3 linked regions of the Daphnia pulex genome follow. The protein of the gene in region 1 purifies or fractionates together with the protein of each later gene. This does not show direct contact. Links are inferred from orthologs where the notes say so. Each region holds a gene or a part of one and is shown in the gene's direction. Other genes may lie near its edges.

Region 1 (3,887 bases):
CGAAGATTCGATAATTTTGCTGTCAAATTTCTCGTTGACTAGAAATAATGAGTTTACCTGTTCTTTGGCAGTTTCAAACCAATCTTCTGTATCCAACACAATTCGTAGTTGGCTTTCGATAACTTCAACCGATTGTTCAAGATCAGTAGTCTATTTCAAAATATTCTGTAAAATAAATGACACGAACTGACGTGAAAGCTAATTCATACCTCATGATCCGAATTTTTGTTATAATTATCTTTATAATCATCTTCAAGATGGCTAACATCAATAGCGTCATCAAAATTGAAATCTTCGTCTTCAAACAAATCTTTGCTCATGTCTTCGACTTTATTTGATGTTTTCTTGCTGATATTATCCTTGGCTGATTTTAAATTGCTTGATGTTCTAGGTTTAACTACAGGCGAAGTGCTGAGTACACTATTATAAGCATGATCTTTTGTTTCATAAAAAAAAGTTTAGTTTTATGGTTTTTTAGTATTGGAGCAAATGAAATACTGGATTACCGCACGAATCATCCACATCATTATCTTCATCCTTATCATTAAAGTCTCCCCAGAATTTTCCATCAAGGTTTCCTATACTAAAATCTGCTTTTTTAGTTATTAAACTTTTCCCTTTATCTCGATTGGGCTCTTTTTTGAAAGGCACTTGAATTGCTTCCTTGGCTGAAGAGGATTTAGACTCTAAATGATAAAGTAGTAAATATAACATAAAAGATAGACAAGTGACAAAATACTTTGATACCAATGGGGGTGGAATCTTGATCAAAATCATCATGTGATTTAATGTCACAGACATCTGAATGTTTCTTGTTTGTTTTTGACAAACTTTGAGATGTAATTGTAGAGGTATTGTTGATGCTATTTAAGAGTTCATGATTACATTTTTATTCACAAATACAATTGAAATTAACTAACCTTGAATTGAGTTTGAGTTTGTTAGCACGAGGAAGAAGGTATTTTTCCATCTGGCTAGAAAATCTCTTAAATCCTGATACAAGTACAATGTAGCTAGTGAATTTTTCTCACTTCGCTGTCCACGTAGGATTCCACGTAGCTTTTCAAGATTTCATACGTTTAACACAATTTGAAGGGAGTTCACAAAAGTGTATGGAACTATCATTGTAAACTCTAAACTGGTTGAGGGTCAATTTTGGTTACGAATGTAATCGAGTAAAGAATAATTCCCACTTTTATGCAAAAGAAATTGTAATCGAATTATTGAAATATGTCTATTTGGTATCTTTAGTTCTAGTTGTCTAATGTCTACCAAGTTAGGTTAACCTTCATCACGCTGAAAAACTTGAACAAGAAGCTGTAGCAGACGATTTCCCGCTTACATACATTTAAATGTTGCCAACTTGTTGCAATATACTAGTAAACTAATAAAATATCAAAACCACTTAGCACTTATAGAATGAGAATTTCATCCATTCACTTTCCTATTTTAAAATACCTTTAAAATAAAAATATTTAACTTATAATTTATGAAAACAGTAAAATTCGAGATTTTTCCATTCTATCCTCTAGAGGGCTGCACCAATTCGTAACCGTCCTCAATAACTGTCATGTCTGTCAATTTTCATTGTATGGTGCCTACCAAGGAAACGTGAAAATTGCTCATTCATTTTATAACATTCAAATGAGTTAAATCGTTTTTCTCCATTCCATCAGTGACGATCCAGGTAATCGGAATTCTCAAGATCCCTTTCCATCTTGTAGTGGATATAGAATGTGAACAACCGATGATTTCACGCAATTGTCGGTGTTGGAGGTGTAACCGGATGCTTACTGGGGCGTGGATATTCATAAAGAACTATGAATCTATTGAAACGTTTTGTTTGTTTTCTACATAGGATACTTATTCACTGTTAAATTTGGCCCAAACGCAGATGTCAAAGCTAGTGAAACTTCAGATGTCTCCACCAAGAACAAACTCAAACTTTGTGGAAGTGAAAAGCAAAGTAAAGTTTCATTTTCTGTCATGACCAAAGATTATTCATATTAAAATTCTTTTAATTCTAGTTTGTGGCTGAATTTAGAAGATTCAGTCTAAACAAAAAAGTATTACCAAAGTATGAAGATTTCAGAAAGTTGCTTGAACAACTACATGGCTTACAAATTGAACCATTCTATATAAGTTATACAGGTTTGTAATTTCATCATATACTACTTATTCAAAGACTGATTTGTAATTTGTCTCATTCATCATACAGACCCCAATGATGGGGATTTATTGCCCATCAACAATGATGACAACTTTGCTAGAGCTTTGCAGGCAGCACGTCCTTTGTTGAGAATCCACATACAGAGAAGAGGAGAATCACAGGATGATGAATTACATCAACACTATGCTTCTAAAAAGAATTTAATATCATCAATATTAGGAACACCCAAAACTAGGCCACACATTAGCATATCGTATCCAAAGGAATTTCGACAAGTTGGTTTGATTATTCCATCTGTTTATTTTCATTAATTAAGTAGATTTGTAATTAGCTTAAACGCCTTGTTTTCTTGCTTGAACTTGCGTAATCTTAGTTGTTGGCGTTATGTCTCCAGTTGTTGTTTCCTAGTCTCCTTTCTTGTTGTTGCATCTTGCTTCATGCTTGGTTGGGCATTAAACTGAATTATTCACTGTTAAAACAGGTTTCAGCTATTATTGATGTAGATGTAGTGCCCGATTCCTGCCGTCGAGTTAGGCTGCTCAAACATGGATCTGAAAGACCTCTTGGATTTTATATTCGAGACGGTACCTCGGTACGTGTCACACCTAATGGCCTAGAAAAAGTCCCCGGAATTTTTATATCAAGGTATGATTATACTTTATATCTATATATATCTTTATTATGTTGTGATTGACAGACCGTGATTTTTGACAGATTGGTTCCTGGCGGATTGGCCGAATCTACTGGTCTCTTGGCGGTCAATGACGAAGTGCTGGAAGTGAACGGTATTGAAGTCGCCGGAAAATCACTAGATCAAGTAACCGACATGATGGTGGCTAATAGTGCAAACTTGATCATCACCGTCAAACCGGCCAATCAACGAGGTGTTTTGACGCTGTCAAGAACCTCACACAATGACACGATGACGTCGTATTCGACCATCGCGTCAATGGTTCACTCTCATTCTGACGAGGACCATGAAGAAGACGAAACCGACGACTTAGATGAGATAAAGGATCTTACTATGCAGACCAGTGCTAGCAGCGGCAGCGATAGGACCAGCCACGCGAAAGATGATGGCATCCTTCACTTATAACATTATGATTTAAGTTCACAAATATCCATATATGAAAATGAAAACGTTCCCTTTTGAGTCCTTATTTTTAAAAAATGAAAGTGTATAAAAAAAAACAATTTGTCTTCTTTTTGCCTGAATGTTCGCAAACCACATCGGTCAATGCGTGCGTTTATATCCCGTCCACCCCTCCCCCTAGGTTTATAGTTAAGAAAAAAAAAACATGTGTGCCTTTTCAACACTTACCGGCCTTTCAATGGTAATTAGTAAAATGACTAATCGATGAGTCTCGATCTACACGATTCATCGGCACAAATACAACGTTAAAAAAAACTTGTCTCCAGTTCAAATTGTATTATCAATATGCACCACCGTGCTTCAAGAAAGTGGAGAGAACAAACTAAAAACATTAAGAAATTATTCTTTACTCACTTCGAAAATATACTCGTATAAAATGACAGCTTGTTTCTTTATAAATGAAGTATTTTTGAAGCGCCCTTATTCACTGCCAAGAATCTGCAAACCATTTAAAAATTTAAAACGGAACTATTGCACAACAATGACATTATTACCTCCTTAGCTTTCGACCGGATGAACTCTTTCCTCGTTTTCTCCAGTTCATATTCTGGGAATTTATTGTAC
Region 2 (4,067 bases), on another chromosome or scaffold:
TAAAGTTCTTCCATTTTGTATTTTTAAGTTAAGTCATGTTGTTCCAATGGAGTTTATTATTTTTTATACATTTTGCTTTGCCCAAGACTGGATTATATCCTTTTCCATTTTTATCTGTTTTTCTTGTATAGAGTCCTTCATTATGATAGACATTTTTTAGTATTTAGTTGGTGGTGCCAAGTGATAGTATTTAACAGAAGTGTCAATTATTCCTTACCTTCTTATTTTTTAATTGAAATTTTATATTATGCGAGTTCAGATTGGAGTATTCGATCCTTACTCAGATGACCCACGTTTGGCTGTTAAGAAATTGTGCCTGTGCCCTGTCACTGGATTGTTAACAGTTGCTGGGACGGCTGGTCAAGTTGTCGTTGCCGAATTATTCGAAATGCAATCGGAAAAAGAAGTCCCGGTACTTATATTTTGCAAAACTTTACTTTAAATTCAATATTCTATATATTTTTTTCTTCTTGACGTAGATTGTACTCGTTAACATAGTTTCAGATCGGGATAATTTTGTGTGGAAAGGCCACGATAAGTTAGTAGTAAGGAAAGGTTTACTGTCCTTTAAACCAGGCTTCCAGCCAACTTCTGTCCTACAGCTTCATCCTCCCGCTGCAGCCACGGCATTAGCGTTAAATGCAGAGTGGTCAGTATTGGCTGTAGGAACAGCTCATGGACTAACACTTTATGATATAGTAAGTATTGAATGAAATGGTCATCGTTCGCAATCCATTTTAATCTTTACAAAAAAATTTAGACCGTTAAAAAGGAGGTAGTTGCAAAATGCACCCTTAATCCGAATGATGTGTCAGGAACTGGAGAGCAGCCAATGTCACGACGAAAATCTTTTAAAAAATCCCTCAGAGAATCCTTCAGGCGGCTGCGTAAAGGGCGTAGCCAGCGTCCTTCCGCTGGCCCTAAATGTGCACCAACTTCACCGATATCAAAGGTCGAAGATAGTAACGCTATAAACAATGCTGGGCCATCTATAGCTGCTGAAGTGCGGCCTGTTGAGAGGCAGATTGAAGCTAGAAATGTTATGTTAGATGACGGTATGGGCAGCATGGTTCGTTGTTTACTGCTTGTCAAAACTTACGTAATCAGTCAGTCTTCCAATGCTACCGCAACTCTTTGGGCCGGAACAAATAGCGGAGCTATATATGTTTTTAGCCTTAACATACAGACGGGTATGTTGACATTTTAATTTTTATATTATTGCTGTGGCCTTTTTTCTTTATTTGTGTCTAACTATGCACTCATTTCCTTCTGTCTAATATTTATTTGCTTTAAATATTTCAGGAAATAGACGACACGTGGAGCCCGTGAACGCACAACTTGCAAAAGAGATTCAATTGAAACATCGAGCACCTGTTGTATCGATTAACATAATTGATGCTTCTTATGCAGCTATTGGGGAATCGTTTGAAAACTCTGGGATTAAATCGACTTCTGAATCCTGTCCTCCGCATCGCGTAGTGATTTCGTCGGAAGAACAGTTCAAAGTGGGTGATGAGTATGCGAGGAATTAATTGCCATATGTAATGAATGGCATTATTTTTGTTGCTTCTAGGTTTTCACACTTCCAAACCTGCGCCCGTATGGAAAGTACAAATTAACTGCTTACACTGGTTGCAAAGTTAGGCGCGTTGCGGTTGTTCCCTTTACTGCTCGATCGGATCCGTCCTATAAAGAGAACTGTTTGGTGTGTCTGTCCAATCAAGGAGATTTTCACATTTTAAGTCTCCCGGAACTGCGGCGACAAATGAATGCACAGGCTATACGAAAGGAAGATATACAGTAAGATAAAGGTTTTTTCTTAATTAATGTTTTCTTAAATTTCATCAGCAATTTCGGATCATTTATAGTGCTACCAGTACTGTTGTCCTTACAAATCAAGGAGAAGCATTTTACATGTTGTCTTCCAGTGAATTACAACGTGTTGCGTTGAGTGCTCGTAATTCCCTCCAGTTAAAATGTAAAGTGAATGGGATGAAAAATACCCAGGCTCCCGTGGAATCCTCCTCTCAGGCGGTGATCAAGATTTGTACGTCAAAAGAAGAAAAGCCAGAAGTAGTAATGGAAACTGAATTCTCTGACGTTTCTGTCATTTCAAACACGAGTAATCCAAATGAAGACCGAGAAAACGATAAGAATATCTGCAATAATGAAATTAACAATTCAACAATCGTAAGTGTTGAGCCGGAAACCAGCTTTGGAGATATGACGGTGGACTCTGTCAAAGATCATATAGTGTAGGTTTCCATTTATATTCATAGAAAGAAAAACATTTCTTAACATTTTTTATTTGCATGAAATCTTTTGACTATTGAAGCCTTAGTTTGGACGAATGTAGAATCACAGAAGTTGCATCGGAAACTCGCATTGAACAAGTAAAAACAGAAATATCCTCTGTTTTAAGTTTACACGAAACTTCAAAAATCTCTAACGGTAATCAAGAAGTTGTCTCATTTGATTTTATTGAACCTTACATTAACTAGTGCTGACTTTGAACACTAACGAATTTAACTCGGATAATATAAACAAAAAAGAATTCTATTAATCAATATTTCATCTATTTTAGTAATCTCAATAGATGAATCATATTCCATTACTCATCACGAGACTAAGGTTAATGTGCACTTAGAGTCTGATATGGAGAAGAATCGTGTGGTTTCGCAAGAATGTACTGTGAGTGATTTGCATGGAAATTTGGATGTGACTGTTACCAAGGTAAACATTTACTATATTCACCACTAGTCTACAACTTAAGTTTTTTTTAGATTCTAACATCAATTTGAAATATTTATTATATTTTGAAATGTTTTATTGCTGATTGTATTTTAATTATTGGCACATTTTATTACTGTTCTAGGACCCTACTGAATTGTCGACTGAAGAAAATGTGGAAACTTCAAAATAACGATGGTGAATTAGCAGCTTATAAAATTTCAAAGAAATCATTTAATTTGGTAGAAACACCAAATTTTTATGTTGGCTGATAATTGTTAATCAAGCTAATTTCATAGCAAAAAGGCAGCTAATTATTGTCAATAACTAATGGTGTCGGTTTTTACTGCATTCCAGTATCACAATTGTCTTATTTTAGTAATATTATGGTAGAGAAAATAATTTCCTCAAAGCATTCCACATACTGAAATCAATTCGAATATTCCTAAATGAAGCAAAGATTAATGCTACAACTGAGCATTGTAGTCGCGCTGGGCTATTTCTTTAAAGGGTTTCTCCGTACTGTAAAGGAATTTATTTTCTAATTATTCTATGTACTCAAATTAAACGCTAATAAGGAACTAAAATCTTCTCCAATTTACAAATTGTGGAATTGTTTGACTGGTGAGTCGACTGCCTTTAATCAGTTTTGCCTTTTCATGAATTTTACGAGTTTTCTCAACCGCCATTTTTGTATATGAGAATTCGGTATGGAATCTGGTTTACTAATACAATCCTGCTATGGGAAACCTTTTGAGATCGATTCATTTTATTTCTTTGTCCGGTCCATGTCAATAATACTTCTGAAATAAAAGACAGTAAAAAGTAAGTAGTAAGTAAGACAGCGAAAGAAAAGGGGCCGAGTAGAGTTAATCCAAGCGCAAATAGGTAATAGAGTACGCGACCATTTCGTCCGCGCTTCGTTCCCGCGTCGCGCAGCGATTTTTTCAAGAAATCCACCACTCAAGCGCACCGAATTCATGGACTCCCCCCCCCCCCGTTTTTTCCCATTTGGGCCATTCCGCTATGGGACCTAAAAATCTGAAAAATACAGGCCTATCAAAGATCCGTGTCCAAAGGCTGATCCGTTAACGGATTTCTTCTAACCCACTTTACTTTAACCAGAGCCATTACTTATGGTTGTGCGACACTGCGACTCATATGGCGGAAGATTCTCTCGGAGATGGCGTCGTCTTGATGCTCCTCTACGGACATGCCTCCTTCAAACTCTATTCCGCCCCCTCGAATTCCTATCAAGTGGTCCCGCCACTAGCGGCGATAGTCTCCACTTATTACAGAAAACGGCGAAAGCATCAAAATCTTACGAATTGATTGTA
Region 3 (3,653 bases), on another chromosome or scaffold:
CTACCTCCATGTACGTAACGCAATTGCCGCTTGCTCGTGTGTGTGTGCACCTCTCTTTGTTTTATTATGCTTGCTCGGTTTTTTATTTTTATTTATCGCATCGCGCTGGGTGTAACGCTTTTTATTCCGTTTCTTTTTTGGTTGCCGGTTTGATCCGGTTTTTATTTTTATTTTATTTTTTTTCAATTTTGCCATTTTTTTAAATTTAAATAATGATAACCGTTGTGGATTTTTTAAATGTGCGTGAATCAGACAAGTCGCAGGAGAATAGCCGGCCGCTTTTCGTCCGTCCGGTTGACCCGCCTTCAAGAAACTCTTCAAGGGACATCGGCCCGACTTTGGGGTTGAAGAAATCGTCGAGTTTGGAGTCGCTCCAGACGGTCGTCCAGGAGATCCAGATGCAGGAGGAGGAGCCTCAAATCGGTTGCTACGGCTATCACCGGCCGACGGCCATCCGGGTGGTTCGAGGACGCGGCTGCAATGAAAGTTTCCGAGCGGCTGTCGATCGCAGCTACGACGAGTCGGGCCAGCCAACTGACGGCACCAACAAAGAGCCCATGGAGACACGTAAGCAACCCGGAAGCGTTTTACCAGACTAATGTTTTAATGTCCATTGAAAATTTCGTGAAACTTTCGGGATTTATTCCGGACTAGTAGACTGGAACATTCTTTTTTTTTTAATTTCTCTATTTATTTTCTCTTTGCGATTTAGTGGACGAAGCGTTGGAAGTTGAGGTGAATGAAATGATGCCACCGCCACGCTCTCCATCGGACATCGGAATTCCCATGTTGAACAACAAGAACGAGACGCGCAAGAGCAAAAAGAAGAACGCCAACGCGGCCGGACTCCTTTTGAAAGGCCTGGGCTCCATGTTCCGCTTCGGCAAGCACCGCAAATCCGCACCAGCCAGTCCAGAATCCGGTCATCAGTCATCCGGATCGGATCCGACAGTTTCGGGTCATCATTCCATGGCCGGCGGCCACATGATTATGCCTTCGTCCGGAAACCAATCTCACCATCACCACCAGAGCGAGCGGAGATCTTCTTCCGGTCATTCCGGAAGCATCGGCAGGTCGTCTGCCGTGAGCGAAGTGGACCGCCATCACGTCCTCAGACGAACTCTTCCGCCCGATGAACGTGACCGTGCAGAGCTCGGACGCCAAATGGCCATCGCCGTCGCTCGCCAGGTAAATTGCAAAAAACTCAAATTCGTGCGGATGATTGAGGACAAAGAAGAAGTTTGGGTTGACGTCATCTCGCCTTATGTGACGTCTAAAAGGAGAGGGGGGAAAACAACAAGTGATTCACCGGAAACATTTCACCGACGCTCGATTGTTTCGTCGAATAATGATGTTCGATTAAAAGCGAGTCTCGACTTTTTACGCATTTAATTCATGGGACTCCCACGCGTTCACAGGGAGCCAAAGTTCGTGTACACAGGATTTGCGGCTTTTTATTTATTTTCTATTTTTTTCTACGCGAGAGAGAGGAGGGTTGGAATAATTGAATGACGGGATATTGTGGTTTTTTCAAGTGCACACAAGCGACATTGTGAAAGACACACGATTTCACTTTGGGAAAATCAGTTTTCTTTTTTCTAGCTATAGAGCATAGGCTTGTAATCGAAGAATTTTTGTGAGTTGTAAACCATTTCGATCGTAATGTTTATTTTCCCGTTGCGGAAGAAATTAGTGGCCCCGTTTCTAGTCCATTTGCTGTTGCCATCTAACGGTTGTTTGTTCTGGCTTTAGAATTTCTGGTTTTTATTCTTTTATTTGATTGTTCGATTCTTTTCTCTTATTCTTTTTACAGGCCGCCCAAGATGAACAGAAGAGAATACAACATCATTATTTACGGTTGATGGATCAGCAACAACGCCAGGCCGCCGCCGCTCACGATCACCAGCAGAAGCAACAACAGCAGCAGCAACAACAGCAACAAGGGAATTCAGCAACAACTGGTGACCGCTCGCAGAGGCTGCATCAGCTGCGCGCCCAGCACCAAAAACGGCACGCCGAACAACAAAGACAGTCGACTCACACGCCGACGGAACAGTTCGAGTATGAAAAATATTCAAATTGCAGACGATGGAAATGACATTTTAACGTTTTTTCTTTTTCTTTTTCCCTTGACTTGTTTTGGTTAGGTCAAATAATAAGAATGTGCCGGAAATCATACACGGACGCTCGGCCAGTTACGACCCTTACAACGACGTGAGGAAACCCCGTAGCCGGGCAGCTGTCGGCGAACCCAATACTCTTATGCCCATTCCGGCCGTGCCTTCCTCCACGTCCAACTACAACAACAATTACGACGAATTTCAACTCAAGTAAATATCTTTATTTTCAATTTCACAGAACTTCTTTGAATTTAAGATCGTTTGCAATGAACGTGTTATTGTTGTTCGTGTCTCCACTAATATTTAACTCGACCAACATGTAACTAACGGTTTTGTGATTTGATTGGGGGTTTTCTATTTTGGCTACGAAAAGAAATGGCAATTTGAACCCGGTTCAGATTCGTGAAATGCAGGAATTGGTCCGTCATCAAAGACTCAAAGTTGAACAGGGACAAGTCATGTAAGAAATCAACAACATTTCCAAACAAACAAAAGTAGCGCGAGTTGATTATTTTCTTCGGTTGGTTTGAATTCGCCGCATCCGTCGCCTGCATTTTTATTTTTCGTTTATGATTTTGCATGGTCCCCAGTTTTATTTGGTTTTATTAGTTTTTATTTCGGTAGACATTTTGTTTTTTAAATTAAATGTTGATTGGAATTTGTATTAATTCATTTTCATTTGTTTGTTTTTGCAGTCGGCGTCAGCAGCACTATCACTCGCAGCGATCGGCTCGCGAGACGCGGATGAGCCCACCGGGTGGAAATGGTTGGTCGGGTGCCGATCGGCCCGTCTCCAACTATTTCGAGTATGAAAGTCTTCACATTGCTGGTCACAAGGTCGCATTGAGCGGACCACCTTACAAGTAATATTGCACACACACGTTTCCGATTTTTCCCTTTGTGCAATAAACTAACGAAATGTCTGTGTTTTTTAATGACTTTCTCAGACCTCAGCAACAACAACAATCGGGAAATCGTCGCCCACCCACCGTGCAGGGCGATGATACAACATTTTTCCGGCGCCCTGATAGAAACAGCACTGGTCATGGTACGTCTACTTCTGTTATTTCGGAATTTCATCATCTTCTTTGATACACTTGAATATGAATGGATTATTTTAACTTGCAGAATACGGAAGCAATCAAGGACGGGCATCTCAACGGGAATCGGTTTATGGTGCATCCACCTACGGAAGCGGCAGCCAAAATAACCCCAGCAGACCGGCTCCTTTGACAGGATCTAAAGTCTGAGCAGCAACGACGGCAGCAGTTAACATTCAGCTAATTATATAGGGACAATAGGTATCTGTGTTAATATCAAACTCAAAAAAAAATGAAACTATCAAGTACTTTGAAAACGAATGCATGTGCAGTCCATTGGTCAGATTTTCTTTGAAATATTTTCAAAGGAAAAAAGTCCATTTTCATTTTCATTTTTTTGCTCGATCAAAAAAACTGTTGAATTGTAAATAACTTAAGAAACTGTTTATTTTTTCAACACAAACCCAACGCGGAAATCTTCAAAGTCTGTCCC

Evidence for each region.
Region 2: the proteins of partitioning defective 6 homolog gamma-like (region 1) and lethal(2) giant larvae protein homolog 1-like purify together in Drosophila melanogaster (affinity purification with western blotting; 5 studies listed by BioGRID, with this or other methods). This does not show direct contact. The link is inferred for Daphnia pulex from reciprocal best matches to the Drosophila melanogaster genes par-6 and l(2)gl.
Region 3: the proteins of partitioning defective 6 homolog gamma-like (region 1) and partitioning defective 3 homolog purify together in Drosophila melanogaster (affinity purification with western blotting; 7 studies listed by BioGRID). This does not show direct contact. The link is inferred for Daphnia pulex from reciprocal best matches to the Drosophila melanogaster genes par-6 and baz.

Annotation. Positions count from the first base shown.
Region 1 is NC_060019.1:10,154,295-10,158,181, reverse strand, and holds partitioning defective 6 homolog gamma-like, read left to right. Parts: upstream 1-1,414; 5' UTR 1,415-1,687; intron 1,688-1,858; 5' UTR 1,859-1,894; coding exon 1,895-1,966; intron 1,967-2,027; coding exon 2,028-2,151; intron 2,152-2,218; coding exon 2,219-2,445; intron 2,446-2,651; coding exon 2,652-2,815; intron 2,816-2,884; coding exon 2,885-3,266; 3' UTR 3,267-3,294; downstream 3,295-3,887. Other genes in the region: Bloom syndrome protein homolog, read right to left, coding at 58-150, 210-436, 507-686, 748-863, 921-970; protein DEK-like, read right to left, coding at 3,744-3,761, 3,818-3,887.
Region 2 is NC_060023.1:5,198,181-5,202,247, forward strand, and holds the end of lethal(2) giant larvae protein homolog 1-like, read left to right. Parts: exon of another isoform or gene 1-135; intron 136-217; exon of another isoform or gene 218-259; coding exon 260-412; intron 413-479; coding exon 480-698; intron 699-760; coding exon 761-1,190; intron 1,191-1,302; coding exon 1,303-1,505; intron 1,506-1,573; coding exon 1,574-1,800; intron 1,801-1,868; coding exon 1,869-2,255; intron 2,256-2,335; coding exon 2,336-2,451; intron 2,452-2,584; coding exon 2,585-2,733; intron 2,734-2,875; coding exon 2,876-2,923; 3' UTR 2,924-3,487; downstream 3,488-4,067. UniProt on the Drosophila melanogaster protein: Essential for the development of polarized epithelia, for cell polarity associated with asymmetric cell division of neuroblasts during development, and for oocyte polarity formation.
Region 3 is NC_060025.1:9,144,012-9,147,664, forward strand, and holds part of partitioning defective 3 homolog, read left to right. Parts: coding exon 1-10; intron 11-252; coding exon 253-567; intron 568-712; coding exon 713-1,188; intron 1,189-1,813; coding exon 1,814-2,061; intron 2,062-2,147; coding exon 2,148-2,330; intron 2,331-2,493; coding exon 2,494-2,580; intron 2,581-2,815; coding exon 2,816-2,983; intron 2,984-3,067; coding exon 3,068-3,168; intron 3,169-3,248; coding exon 3,249-3,370; 3' UTR 3,371-3,653.